2 linked regions of the Arabidopsis thaliana genome follow. Each later gene encodes a partner of the first gene's protein in a complex. Each region holds a gene or a part of one and is shown on either strand. Other genes may lie near its edges.

Region 1 (7,283 bases):
AAATATTGGAATAAATTTGATATCCTAAACTTATAAATATAAATTTCTAGTGATTAGTGAAAAATCGTAATATATTATTTGGATATTATTGATTATTGATTTCGTGATTGAATATAGTATTTTTAGGGATGAAATGTGATCATATTTTGATTTTAAAAACGACATAAATTCCTTACTTTTGTTGAATGGTTTATATTGAAGTGAATTAATTTTATTGAACGGTTTAGATTGAATCGGATCATATAAAGTTTAGGAGGTTGTTAATACCAAATTACCCTTAATGATTTTGAATATCAGAGAACAAAATCCAAAATTGAAATCAAAATTGAGGCCAAATTAAACAAACTTTCAATTTGTACTTCCCTTAAAATAATAAAGGGATATTAGTTATCATCCGAGAAACCTGGCGAGTATATGTTCTCACTGAAATATATGTTTTAATCACAAGAGAAACATCAACCAAGTTTATACTATGTCTGAAATAAATGTAGTCATATATGACAAATATACAGATAATACAACGTTATTTTACGTTATTTTTTTTTTCTTTTACCGTTAAAGTTCAAAATTTAATTACTAATGATGAACTTTTAAATATATTTACGTATAAAATAATCAAACATAGATTTAAAATAATTGTGACTATATGTCTCAAGTACAGTTAACTCGACCGATTAAAAAGATTATTATTGTTTGATTCTTATTAGAATTGAATTTTGGTGTTATGTTCTTTTTGTTAAAGGGTTTAGTTTTGGTATTATTAGGTTAGAAAGAGATATTGTACGCTTTGTAAAATCATTTTAATTAAGCAAATAATAATGTCTTGGTTGCCTCCAACAGACACTCGAACATGATTGTTTCTGTTAACTTCCGTTAATTTAGTTTTCTGATCACAAACACGAACTCGTGGGTCGGTTTATTTTTATTTCCGAGGTCAAATATTATAATGACTGACCGGGAATATACTTTCTTGATAAGAAAGTCATTATTTACACATTAGGGTTTTTAAGAGATTAAATATAATTTTCAATCTAAAGCATCTGCAATGATCATCAACTGAAGAAAATTATGATGAAAAGATTTGAGAATTTACATTCAACGACTAAACGAGTATGAATATATATGAATCAGATAACTTTTATTTTTAAAAATATGCATCATGATGGTCATGGCCTCATGGGCTATCAATTGTAAAGTCAAACCCTTTCAAGAAAACGTGGCAAGGTCATGTGTATGTACATTTGCCCACCAATGATTTGGTTCTATTGTTTTATGCTAATACGATGATTATTAGATAACATTCTCTTTGATGAGCACCATAAAAATCAGAAACTAGGTTTAAACTATTTTGGGTTGAAAAAACAAGTATAACTAGTTAGGTTGATAACTGTATACTGTATTTATAATAGAGCATTATTTCTTATAGAAACACAAACACATATATAATCTAGACAGAAGATTCTAAACATTTGATCGAACCATCGAAAATTTAATGTTTAATGGTTTGTATCATTAAGTGCCCCTTTTGTGAAACATTTAGTATTGAAAAGGGCACGTAGCTCCTTGATACTGGTAACGGCTTTTCCATAACATCAAAAGTTCAATTGGACGTTTCAAATCTAATCAATAGTATTTATTAGAGTAAATAAAAGATCCTCTTACGTTTTATAAATCTTATAAGTACACATGTTTGGAATCTCGGAGTATAAAAAGATACTTGGATAAGTGATGGCAGCTAATTGGATAAGTGGTGGACTTAGTTCAATATTTTTATTAAAAGTTTGCATATATATATATATATATATATATATATATATTTTAATAATTAATATTAATTAGAATTTAATTGAGCAATTTCGAGAATATTATTTAAGTTAGGTAAGAATTTTTTTGTACTAATTTATCTGTTTTTATTTTTACGAGAAATTAAAGATAAAGAAAAATTTATAAATTCTTTACTGTCGTTCTTTAACTCTTTTGAAATCGTTGATTATTCGGTTGGAGAAAATATCATATTTTTTATTTTCTTTTTCGAAATTTTGTTTTAAAAAATTATGACAGCTAATTACACGGCATGTAAAAAAGTAAAATATTTACTTTTATTTATATTTGATAAAAAAGGATGACATAATTTTCTGTAATCACCATAAGTCCATAACGTTTGCATTTAAATTATCAAAGACTAAGATAAGCCTAGAATAATTTAAAATGTAAACTATAGTATACGTCAGAACCTACAGATACAACCTTCCTCGTATAATCCCTAAACAGAATTTTAATTAAACATTTCCTTAACTAATTTACTTCTTAATTTAACTTTTAAATTCCTTCCACCATCGAATCACAATCTCTCTCTCTCTCGCTTGCTGTTACTCGCTTTTTCCCAGAACCGGCTTCGATTTTTCTAAAGCAGCCGAAATTTACGATTCCCAGAATTTTCCCTACTGACAAAATTTCACTTCAAATACAAATCTCGTCTTCATGAGTCTTCTTCTTCGTCCAAATTGAATTTTCTCCGCACACGAGAGTTGAATTTTGATTTTCGGCTGTTTATATGGTCTCCGGTCCCTTAGGGTTTTAATTCTTCTGCAGATCTCTCACGATGAGCGTTGCGAAATCCCAAGTATGGCAGCCATGCAAGAAGAAGAGGTCCTCCTCCTGATTCAATAGAGATCTATCTATATATATATAAGAGACCGAGATATATATATAGAGAGAGAGATGGCTTCTCGAACAACGCCTTCACGATCGACTCCTTCACGATCAACGCCTTCTGGTAGTTCTTCTGGTGGTAGGACACGAGTTGGTAAGTATGAGCTTGGACGAACTTTGGGTGAAGGAACTTTCGCTAAGGTCAAATTCGCTAGAAATGTTGAGAATGGTGATAATGTCGCTATTAAGGTTATTGATAAAGAGAAAGTTCTGAAAAATAAGATGATCGCTCAGGTATGTATTATACAATTCTCCAGCTGCTGTGTTCTTATTGGGAATCTGATTTACGCAGTTGTGATATAACCTTTGATTTTGGATTTTGTAGATCAAGCGTGAGATTTCGACGATGAAATTGATCAAGCACCCGAATGTCATTCGTATGTTTGAGGTTTGATTCTGATACTATAAAGCTGAATTCAAAGTTGTGTTGCACGTTTTGGTTGTTGTTGTTGTTCTATAGATTTGTGCTATAAGCTGAGATTCGTTTGAAGTTATGGAACATATTTGTGGTCCCTGGCTAATCATATGTATGTAATATAAGGGATTTGATTATTCTATGTATTTTTTTGGTATCTTTGTAGTTACAGATTCTCTTCTTCTTCTTCTTCTTCTTCTTCTTCTTCTTCTTCTTCTTCTTCTTCTTCTTCTTCTTCTTCTTCTTCTTCTTCTTCTTCTTCTTCTTCAGGTGATGGCTAGCAAAACTAAGATCTACTTCGTTTTGGAATTCGTCACTGGTGGGGAGCTTTTCGATAAAATTGTAAGATTTCATTGAAAGATGTGTTTTTTTTTTCTTAATACTATGTGGAAATGAGATCTTAATTCTTTAGAATTGTCATGTATTAGTCAAGCAATGGGAGATTGAAGGAAGATGAGGCGAGGAAGTATTTCCAACAGCTGATTAATGCGGTTGATTATTGTCATAGCAGGGGAGTTTATCATAGAGACCTTAAGGTTAGGAATCTTACTTTGTGATCCTCTTGCATAGGGTTTCTTGTGAATCAATTGGCATCAGAATAAAAGTTTGATGTGTTTGAATCATGTTGCACATTCTGGTTGCAGCCAGAAAATTTGCTTTTGGATGCTAATGGTGCTTTGAAAGTGTCTGACTTTGGATTGAGCGCTCTACCTCAGCAAGTTCGAGTGAGCATCGAGATATTGATTTCTTTTTCTATCATTTCATTGTAAATATCATAGTTCGATAATTCAGCTACTATGGCTTCTAAGGAGAAAGATTTCCATGATTTATTCAAAAGCTGATTTTGTGACCCTTTTTCTTTAGGAGGATGGGTTACTTCACACAACCTGTGGAACACCCAATTATGTTGCTCCGGAGGTATTAGCAACTGCTACTGAAAACTGACACACAATTTTCTCAAAACTTGAATTCTATTATTTTCTAGTCTCAGTAACCTTCTATATTTTCTCCCTAGGTAATCAACAACAAAGGTTATGATGGAGCGAAGGCTGATTTGTGGTCTTGTGGAGTAATTCTCTTTGTTTTAATGGCTGGTTATTTACCTTTTGAAGATTCTAACCTGACGTCGTTATATAAAAAGGTATTACGCTTGCCTCTTCTTCTTTTGCTTTTCTTTTGATACATATCATTTTACATGCTATCAGAAAGGCTTCAAGGTCTAGGTGCATTTGGGTGGCTGTATAAAAGCCTCTGTCATTTTTGTATGAGACGTATATAGCATAAAAGCCACCTGATTTTCTTTCTTCATAATTACAGATATTCAAAGCAGAATTTACTTGCCCTCCCTGGTTCTCTGCAAGTGCTAAGAAGTTAATCAAAAGAATTCTGGATCCCAATCCAGCAACGGTATATTTTTCTTACCCTATTATATAATTTATATTAGAGGATCTCTCCTTTGAAGAGGCAAAAGCTTCTATAGGATTGAGTAGATCTGAAGGCTTACACTGATTTTTTATATTGGGCAGAGGATTACATTTGCTGAGGTCATTGAAAATGAGTGGTTTAAAAAAGGGTATAAAGCACCTAAATTTGAGAATGCTGATGTCAGCCTTGATGATGTTGATGCAATCTTTGATGACTCAGGGGTAAGGCTAGTGTTCTTTTGTTTGTTTTTTTCGGTACTTTGTCCGGGATGATTGCTCAGTTGTTTTTGTTTGTTAATAGGAGTCTAAGAATCTTGTTGTGGAGAGGCGAGAAGAAGGACTCAAAACACCAGTAACGATGAATGCTTTTGAGCTCATCTCGACATCCCAGGGTCTCAATCTCGGTTCACTTTTCGAAAAACAAATGGTACAGAAGTCTGATACGTAAAGCTGGTCTTTAAATTTCGTCCCCCAAGGCTCTTATTTTGTTGACAATTTTTAACTATCTTTTTGCGGTTTTGGTCAAACCTAATAAGAAGTAGCTTTGCCACAAAATTTTAGTGACCAATACTTTTCTTTGGAAGCCCGTACTTAGTTTGATAGAAGTCGTCATTCTGATTGATAAGCTTCTCTGATTTCAGGGGCTGGTGAAACGAAAAACTCGATTTACTTCCAAATCTTCGGCTAATGAGATAGTTACAAAAATTGAGGCTGCGGCAGCACCTATGGGGTTTGATGTCAAGACAAATAACTACAAGGTTAGAATACTGTTACGTATTTACCCAATGCTGTGGAGTTGTGTATTGGTTTGTTGCTTCTGAATAGACCCTTTAACCATTTCTCAACTCCTTCAGATGAAGCTGACAGGAGAGAAATCAGGCCGCAAGGGTCAGTTGGCAGTTGCCACTGAGGTTAGCTTTCACAATGACCAGTGATCACCCTTTGTATGGTTGGCTGAACCTAATTTAAGTTAATTGACATCTACCTTCAGGTTTTTCAAGTTGCTCCATCTCTTTACATGGTTGAAATGCGAAAATCAGGGGGTGACACATTGGAATTCCACAAGGTATGCAAGGGTTATTAATGCTGATCAGGTTGTATCAAACCCGAGCTTGTCAAATGGTCTTCCAGTAACTGATGTTTGAATCTTTACCTTTTTGCATCCTTTCTTGCTCTTCTTTTAGTTTTACAAGAACCTTACCACGGGACTTAAGGACATTGTTTGGAAAACCATCGACGAAGAGAAAGAGGAAGGAACCGATGGTGGTAAGTATCTGCCTTGAATACTCTGTTTTTTAGATAAAGCTCCTAGAAAAGGAGAAACTAACGAAACATGTAAACACAAATCCTGTTTTGTTTCTTCATGTTTCAGGTGGTACTAATGGTGCCATGGCTAACCGGACAATTGCAAAACAGTCGACATAAGCTGTTTACTTTTTTCTAATATAGATTTTGTTCGTTATAAATTACTATAGTAGTACGGAGTGGTTTTGAAGTTAATACAAAAGGAAGCGTCAAGAAGTGGAGCAGAAGCAGTTTGAAACTATATTGGGGAATGGGGATTATTGATATTTTAATCATGTTTGATTCCATGGAATGTTGTGAATAGCATATGCGTGTTGCGAGGTTCTTGGCTTGAATCGATTAACCGGAAAGTAAAAGCTTTACAGATTTGGTTTTGCAATTTCTATATTGTCGGACGCTGAGATTCGATAGATATTTCAGTTCAAATGTACTGAAAACAAACTAACACTTGTGTGTGAACCAAATCGAAATTTATTTTCATAATTTTAAAACCTGAAAAAGGAAAGCGGACTGAAAACCAATATCAGTGTAGACAAAACAAACTGAATATATAGCATGACTTGAAGTTAGTGAGATTTTAAAACCAAAATCAAGGAAAGAAAAATATCAATAAAGATTATGTCGGACCAAATACTATAACAAAAATTTAGAGATGGAAAACTTGGTGGCCAAGTTACTCTGTATTAATAATTGAGGGCGAAGAAGATGTGAACAAGAACACCAATTCTTCAATTAGGGGTTTTGTTATTCTTCTGTATTACTCTCTTGTTTATTGCTAAGAAACAGGTAAGGCTGTAGCTAAGAGTGTGGAGGAGGAGGAGGTTGGTCTTCATAATTTGGAAACAACTAATGTGGATGTGGATGAGGAGTTTGTTCCTCACAGTTTGGATGAAGCTAAGGCTGTTGTGGATGTTGTAGATGTGGAGGAGGAGGTTGGTCCTGTTGGTTTAGAAACAGCTAAGGCTGTTGTGGATGTGGAGAAAGAGTTTGGTCCTCGTGGTTAGTGGCGGAGGCAAAGTTTTTCTTCATGGGGGTCATTTTATATATATATATAAAGTATAAATTGTTTCAAAATAAAACTAAATAGTCTATTTTTTAATTGAAATATATATATATATATAGTTTTAGAAATGTTTCACTTTTCAATTAGAATATGCATGTTCTTCATTTTTTTTTGGTTTTCAGTTGTATTAAGTATTTTTTATCCTCAAAATATTGTTTTTCTATCAAAATGTTTAGTATAATGTGGAGATTGATTAGTTGTTGTGTTTACCTTGATCTATGATTTTTTAATTAAAGAGATCGAATGAATATGAAAGATGTTACAGATTTTTAGCCAACAAAAATGAAAAATCAAAACTAAAGTTGTGGAAAATGAATATGTATGGGGTCAAATACAGAAATTGATCACATGACATGGGGGTCAT
Region 2 (6,014 bases), on another chromosome or scaffold:
TCCACAAAACGATCACAAACCTGAACCAAATAATTCGAAGCTAAGCAAGTCCCAATCTCTGTTTTCACCATATGCATCACAACAAGCCTCAATACATCTGAGGTTAGAACATATCCCTTCTCCAGCATTATTCGAAGGATACTACAAGCAGATTCAACCATCTGAGCTCTCGCTAGAGACAACGACAACTTTGTTAACACATCGCCACTTAACATACCTGGATTTTGCTTCAAAGCCAAACGAGTAAGATCACTAGCCTTACAAAGCCAACCAGCATCAGACGAGTAAGACAACACAGTAACAAATCTGTTCATGATTACACTCTCTGGAAATCCATAGAGGCGTTTGAAATCTTTAAACACGTCCCAAGCATCATCTACACGGTGATCTTTAAGAGCTGTTTCTAGCTTCTTCTTGAGAATTACTTGAGAAGAAACTTCCCAGTTTAATCTAGCAGGTTTAACACTAGTACAGAACAGAGACGGCTTTGAGGTGCGACTACACAAGACCCATGAAATTAGGGTTTCTACGTTACCGCTATCGAATCGACGAAATGATTCTAGAACTAAGTTCCGTTTCCTAAACATTAGTCTAGAATTTCGATTCCAAATCTAGAATTTAACAAAGAAAGCACAACAATGACGAGAACATGATAACAACATACGAATTCTCCAATCGAGAAAGAACCCTAAATTGCTGGAAACTTCGAAATCGAGAGAGAAGAGAGGAACACTGTAACAAGAGAAGAGTGGCAAGACTGTAAATTTCATCGGGTCGGGTCCTAGGACATTCGTACTTTCGCTTTTGCGGTTAAGGACCCAACAAAATCTCAAATTCACGTTTTTGCAGTATAAGATTCCATTGGAACAATTAGAACCCCGAGTAAACGTAACAAATCTTTACTTTTTTACTTGAAAAAAAACAATTACAACAAACGTATGATGTAATATGTACAAACTCATTAACATTTCCTAACTATATGAAGTGAAGGATTGGTGATTACGCGCTTCTTCTTTTTTTTTTTTTGTAAGCTAAAAACCCAAAATTTTAAACTGTTGTGAGAAGAAAAAAGTAACCCAAACAATTTCAAGAGAATATGCTCTACTACTGTTTACAAACAGATGTTGATTACACCGATTAGCTCAGACTTGTTCTTCCAACTCGTGGCAATCTACTCGGTCTTAAACCAGTTTGTTTCTTCATGTGGCAATCTCATCGACCTCCGAATGGAAGACAAAACTCGGAAACGTTGTCGTAATATCCCTGCATTGTTTATGTACAAGTTAATATGACATTTCATTTGGCATTTTTCAGTTTTCTTTGGTTTCCATAAAAGGCAATTTGTAATATACCTGAGATATGGAAGAGTCATGATCTTAAGCAATGATGGATTTTTGTTTACGAAATCACTCCACTCTAATTTATCAATTTTTCCATCTTGATTCACGTCTGCATCTTCAAATGTCTGTTCATATATGAGAAGGACGAAGGAAACCACATTAAGAACATCATCTCTAAATGTATACCATCTAGAAAAATAAAGCCTTAGACAACAACAAACCTTATCGAGTATTATCTCTATGGTTTCATCAGCCAGTTTCATTTCAGATTCGCAGAGAAGCGCGATCAACATTTGCTTGACCTGCAAATATATCACATTCATTAACGATTTCTTGCAAAGTTATTAAGTAAAAGATGAATACTCAAGAACATGGCAAAGATCTATCATGACTAGTATTCAAAGCTTGCAAGTTAGTATTACCTCTTGTCGTTCAATGTAACCCGTGCAGTCCATGTCGTAAAGCCTAAACGTAACTGAGAAAAAATGGCAGACCAGAATCAATAAATCTCTTCACAAAAGCTTCAATAAACACCTATATATGAAACTATCTTATGTCAACTTACAATCTATTTTGTCTTCTAGAGAAGCATTGGGGTGGAAAACATTGAGTGATCTTACAAAGTCCCCGAAATCGATGACTCCTTTTCGTTTAACATCAAACATATCAAATATCTGCGGAAAAGCAATATTGTTTAGGATAATGGACATATTATCTTGGTTTAGATCACTCTTCCAGAAGATGAATCTTGTAAAAGCCTGAAGAATTAAGATTTTACCCTATTAGCAAATATATTCTCCCTCTTCCGGCTTTTGAACAAAGCAAGTTGAAACTCCTCCTGCATACATGTGAAGCCAGGATTAAAAAACAACATAAACAAGGTGGGCCATGAAGGCTTCAAAATTCAAAATCAAAGCAATCAATAAAATAAGTTAAGTTCAAGTCAAACATTAAGGGCTACGATACATTGAATCGATGCAATATGGAACAGACATATCGTCATGGAAGAATAATTATTGCTCAAATAAAGTCAACTAAGTTGAAAAATACTGTAGATGAATAGCGTAAAGAACAAAAAGATACAACGATGGGGTCATGAAAAGATCCAAATTGGGTCAAAAGAAACAAACTTTGTACCTTGTTAATCAGACCATCATCAACAACCGAACTGCTTATGCTCTTGAATAGCTCAAATAATGCTTCAACCTCACTCACACTAACTGGAAAAGAGAAAAAAACAAGCAACACTACGAGATCAAAACAAAGAATTACCAGGAACAAACAAACAAACAAACAAAGAGACTAATAATTCACATTTAGAATTTGCATGGAGAGAGAACTCGTCTTGACAAGTTAAGGAACAAGATTAAGGTGATGGTATTGGTAACAAGAAACATGAGATAGAGTGTTAACCAACTTTGAAGGATCATTACTAGAAATTGTTAGGCAGACAAAGACTCCAAAACACAAAACTAAAAAAATCCAAACCGGAGATAAACTAAATCAGTGAACAGAGAAAGAATGATTTGAATCTAACTGATGATTCTCATCTCATATCAGAAAACAAATGAACATGCAGCTTTGAGAGAAATGAATCTAGAGGAGGTTTAAACTTATAGCGCGAGTAAACTTACAAGCTGTCTCAGAGGCAAGCTTAACAGGGTCTTCGTGTCCTCGAAATTCTTTTGCTGCCTTTGAGTGGAAGCAGCCCATTTACAGATGAAATAAGACGATGAAACCTTATACCCGAGCCCCGGATAACGAAGAAAAGGCGGATAAAATCCAACAGCTAATTCAGCGATATCTGAGATTCTATAGCTTGATTGCTACTGTTTACTGCACAATCATCACAAACATATTTTCAAAATCTACACATATGGAAACAGAACACAAACAATGCCATTTCATTAGAAACAAATCATCTAAAAAAATCTTTGTGAAACGTAAAATTGAAAACAGTCTAGAAGAATCTCAACAACTTTGCTCAAATTTTTTTACCATGGAAGAAAAAAGTGTAAACCCTAGCAAAGTAGCATCAATGAAGAAAGAAAAAAAAAACACAAAGTTCTTCGAATCCATAAGATACGGAGATGGAATCAAAATTGTACCAGTAAAACACGATTCGAAACCAGACGATCAATGTAGAAACATCGAGAATTCCACAGGCCAAAAATCAAACTCAAAAAAACGAAATTCGATGGAAATAAAAGAAAAAGATTCTTAAAAATAAGAAGCAACACTCACCACCCAAGAGAAACGGTTCGCCGGCGAGATCCAGAGAGAGAGGAGCTAGAAACAGCAAAAAGAGAGAAAGAGAGAGGAGACGAAGAAGATTGGTGAACGGTGATGGCAAGATGGATGATCGGACGGTTGAGATCGATTATTTATTTTTCTTTTTCCTTTGGAATGAATTTTAGTAGCGCTTATATGATGGCATATTCGCACGTGTGAATCATAGTAAGCGCGTGTGAGACGAGTCAGTTTTGGAAGTTAATAGAATCGGCGTTTAGTTCAGTTTTTTCTGTCGTCATGTAATTTCAGTTAGACCGAACCTAATTGTACCTAATTCCATAGATTGATTTCTGTTATGTTCATTCTGTACTATTTATCTTCTGTCTTTTTTTCTTTTTACAACTTGATTGTTACGTAAGCATACACGATATTTTCTATGTTTCTGTATACTAAGAATGGGAAAAATATTTTTTGGACAAGAAATTCAAAATTTCTTTTGTTTCTTCTAATATCCATTCACTTCCGGAATAAATCAAAGATCCGTCCATTTTATTAGTCAAAATGGCACCTCTTAGGAATATTCTGAATATACGGAATTGGTAACCCTGTATTATAATAACTTTTTATATAGTTAGTTTATTAGATATTTGCGATGCTCCATAATTTGACTAATATGCAAAATGGAAACGCCAATAATAAAGTCTGGGAAACATTTGTCTTCGACTGATCGTGTTAGTGGTCACCATATCTTCTTTTGGTTTTGCTATCTAAAAAAACACAAGTTTTTTAATCCATTAACATTTTTTGTTTCTTTGGTAAAATAAATCCACTAACATATGTGATATTTACAGGGTGCCATTTTAAAACCATAACACTCTTGACAACTGGAAAAAGGCTCTAAACTGTAATTATCTGTTGAAATGGTTATTAACTAAATAAATCAGATCATGAAGCCAAATCTCTACAAGAATCAATTTAATTATAAAGTATTGTGTTTATGAATTAAATATGTCGTAGACCAGTCGGTGTGGAATTAGTACTTCGGTCTGCAATGTGGCAGGCAAACGTTGACATAATTAGGACCTTAATCACGACCAGACCACGTGTTTATCGTTCAAAACAATAATAATAGCGTATATATATTAAATTTCTTGATTATGATTAGTAGCTTTGATTCTCCTGCCGTTAACTCGATCAATTAGAGTTTTATATCATTTTGATATCTTTAAAGCGGGCTTAAATTGACTCTTTGGTCACCGGCCGTGTTGGGAACGCGTCCTCAAAATGTTTTGTTTAATTTGCGTATACTACGGTATTATAATTTTATAAATGCAACATAATAACATCCGGATCCGTGGCGCAATGGTAGCGCGTCTGACTCCAGATCAGAAGGTTGCGTGTTCGATTCACGTCGGGTTCAATCCCCCGAACAATTTCCGGTTTTTTTTTTTTTTTCTTCTCCTGAAGTCTATCCCATACGGCCCAATCATACTAAGTTAAGCCCAAGAAAGCCCTTATCAATAATTCTAATTTCCCCCCTAATTATACGACTAGGGTTTATCTGTCCTAAGCCATGAAAATTATTTGAAAGGGTTTAACAGAGAGATTCCTCGTAACACTTCCCTCTGTACTAATTTCAAATTCGTTTACGTTTCTTCATCTATTCTGGCTGCTTGCAGCCAATTTTTTTGAAGTTCGAAGCTTCAATTGAAATGGGTTCGTCAGTGATTACTTCATTGTCACTGAGCTTCAAGCAAGTTCCACCAGCAGCTATTCCTGCTTTCCTTGACTGTGTTTTAAGCTCCACAGGCGTATCTCCTTCAACTCTTTTCGAATCTCTCATTGAGCAATTCCCTTTTCGTTTAGAGGTATTGATTGATTGGTTTATTGTTTCACACTTCGGCAATTTGCTTCGGATTGTTCAATTTAAGATTTGAACATGTTTTTGAATAGGATACGGTAAATGGGGACAAGAGATTTGATTCTGATGATTGCAACCACATAGCTTCATTGGTGGCTGGGCTTTGTCATCTACTAAAGAATTTTGGTGAGTTACCAATTTTGAATTTTTAGATATGTATGATGTGTTAGTGATTACAGAATTGTTTAATTGATGGTTATGAGGTTGAAGCAGGCTTTGTTGCTGCGGATAATCATAATGCGTTGCAGCTATTTGTGTGGAGAGTGTTTATTCCATTGATGAAGATGGTTCGTGCATATGATTTGGATATGCTTAATAAGGTAGAAATTTCTGCTGTTGACTATAGTCCTTAGAGTTTTGATCTCCTTGAGATTGTTGATCATTTTGTTGTTTCTTTTGGTTTCTTTGTTTGATTGTACCAGATTGTAGAATCGTTCTTTGATGTAGTGATCGAGACTAATGTATTGGATATGTTGGGAGTGAGCTTGGTGCCATTTTTACTAAGATCAGTTGGTTTTTCG

The links.
Region 2: CIPK23 (region 1) and CBL1 share a complex: the UniProt entries of both Arabidopsis thaliana proteins name them as parts of the K(+)-channel calcium-sensing kinase/phosphatase complex.

What each region holds. Positions count from the first base shown.
Region 1 is NC_003070.9:10,652,549-10,659,831, forward strand, and holds CIPK23 (CBL-interacting protein kinase 23), read left to right. Parts: upstream 1-2,251; 5' UTR 2,252-2,721; coding exon 2,722-2,946; intron 2,947-3,037; coding exon 3,038-3,100; exon of another isoform or gene 3,101-3,239; intron 3,240-3,397; coding exon 3,398-3,469; intron 3,470-3,555; coding exon 3,556-3,663; intron 3,664-3,771; coding exon 3,772-3,852; intron 3,853-3,991; coding exon 3,992-4,045; intron 4,046-4,142; coding exon 4,143-4,268; intron 4,269-4,444; coding exon 4,445-4,534; intron 4,535-4,653; coding exon 4,654-4,773; intron 4,774-4,852; coding exon 4,853-4,978; intron 4,979-5,192; coding exon 5,193-5,309; intron 5,310-5,405; coding exon 5,406-5,462; intron 5,463-5,542; coding exon 5,543-5,617; intron 5,618-5,735; coding exon 5,736-5,817; coding exon of another isoform or gene 5,818-5,834; exon of another isoform or gene 5,835-5,923; coding exon 5,924-5,976; 3' UTR 5,977-6,352; downstream 6,353-7,283. UniProt on the Arabidopsis thaliana protein: CIPK serine-threonine protein kinases interact with CBL proteins. Binding of a CBL protein to the regulatory NAF domain of CIPK protein leads to activation of the kinase in a calcium-dependent manner.
Region 2 is NC_003075.7:9,814,181-9,820,194, reverse strand, and holds CBL1 (calcineurin B-like protein 1), read right to left. Parts: upstream 3,842-6,014; 5' UTR 3,585-3,841; exon of another isoform or gene 3,449-3,584; intron 3,209-3,448; exon of another isoform or gene 3,177-3,208; 5' UTR 3,054-3,176; coding exon 2,975-3,053; intron 2,561-2,974; coding exon 2,478-2,560; exon of another isoform or gene 2,215-2,477; coding exon of another isoform or gene 2,179-2,214; coding exon 2,119-2,178; intron 2,015-2,118; coding exon 1,906-2,014; intron 1,816-1,905; coding exon 1,763-1,815; intron 1,643-1,762; coding exon 1,562-1,642; intron 1,466-1,561; coding exon 1,172-1,465; 3' UTR 842-1,171; downstream 1-841. Other genes in the region: AT4G17616 (Pentatricopeptide repeat (PPR) superfamily protein), read right to left, coding at 1-587; AT4G17610 (tRNA/rRNA methyltransferase (SpoU) family protein), read left to right, coding at 5,285-5,440, 5,526-5,619, 5,707-5,813, 5,916-6,014. UniProt on the Arabidopsis thaliana protein: Acts as a calcium sensor involved in the signaling pathway during growth and development and in response to abiotic stresses. May function as a positive regulator of salt and drought responses and as a negative regulator of cold response.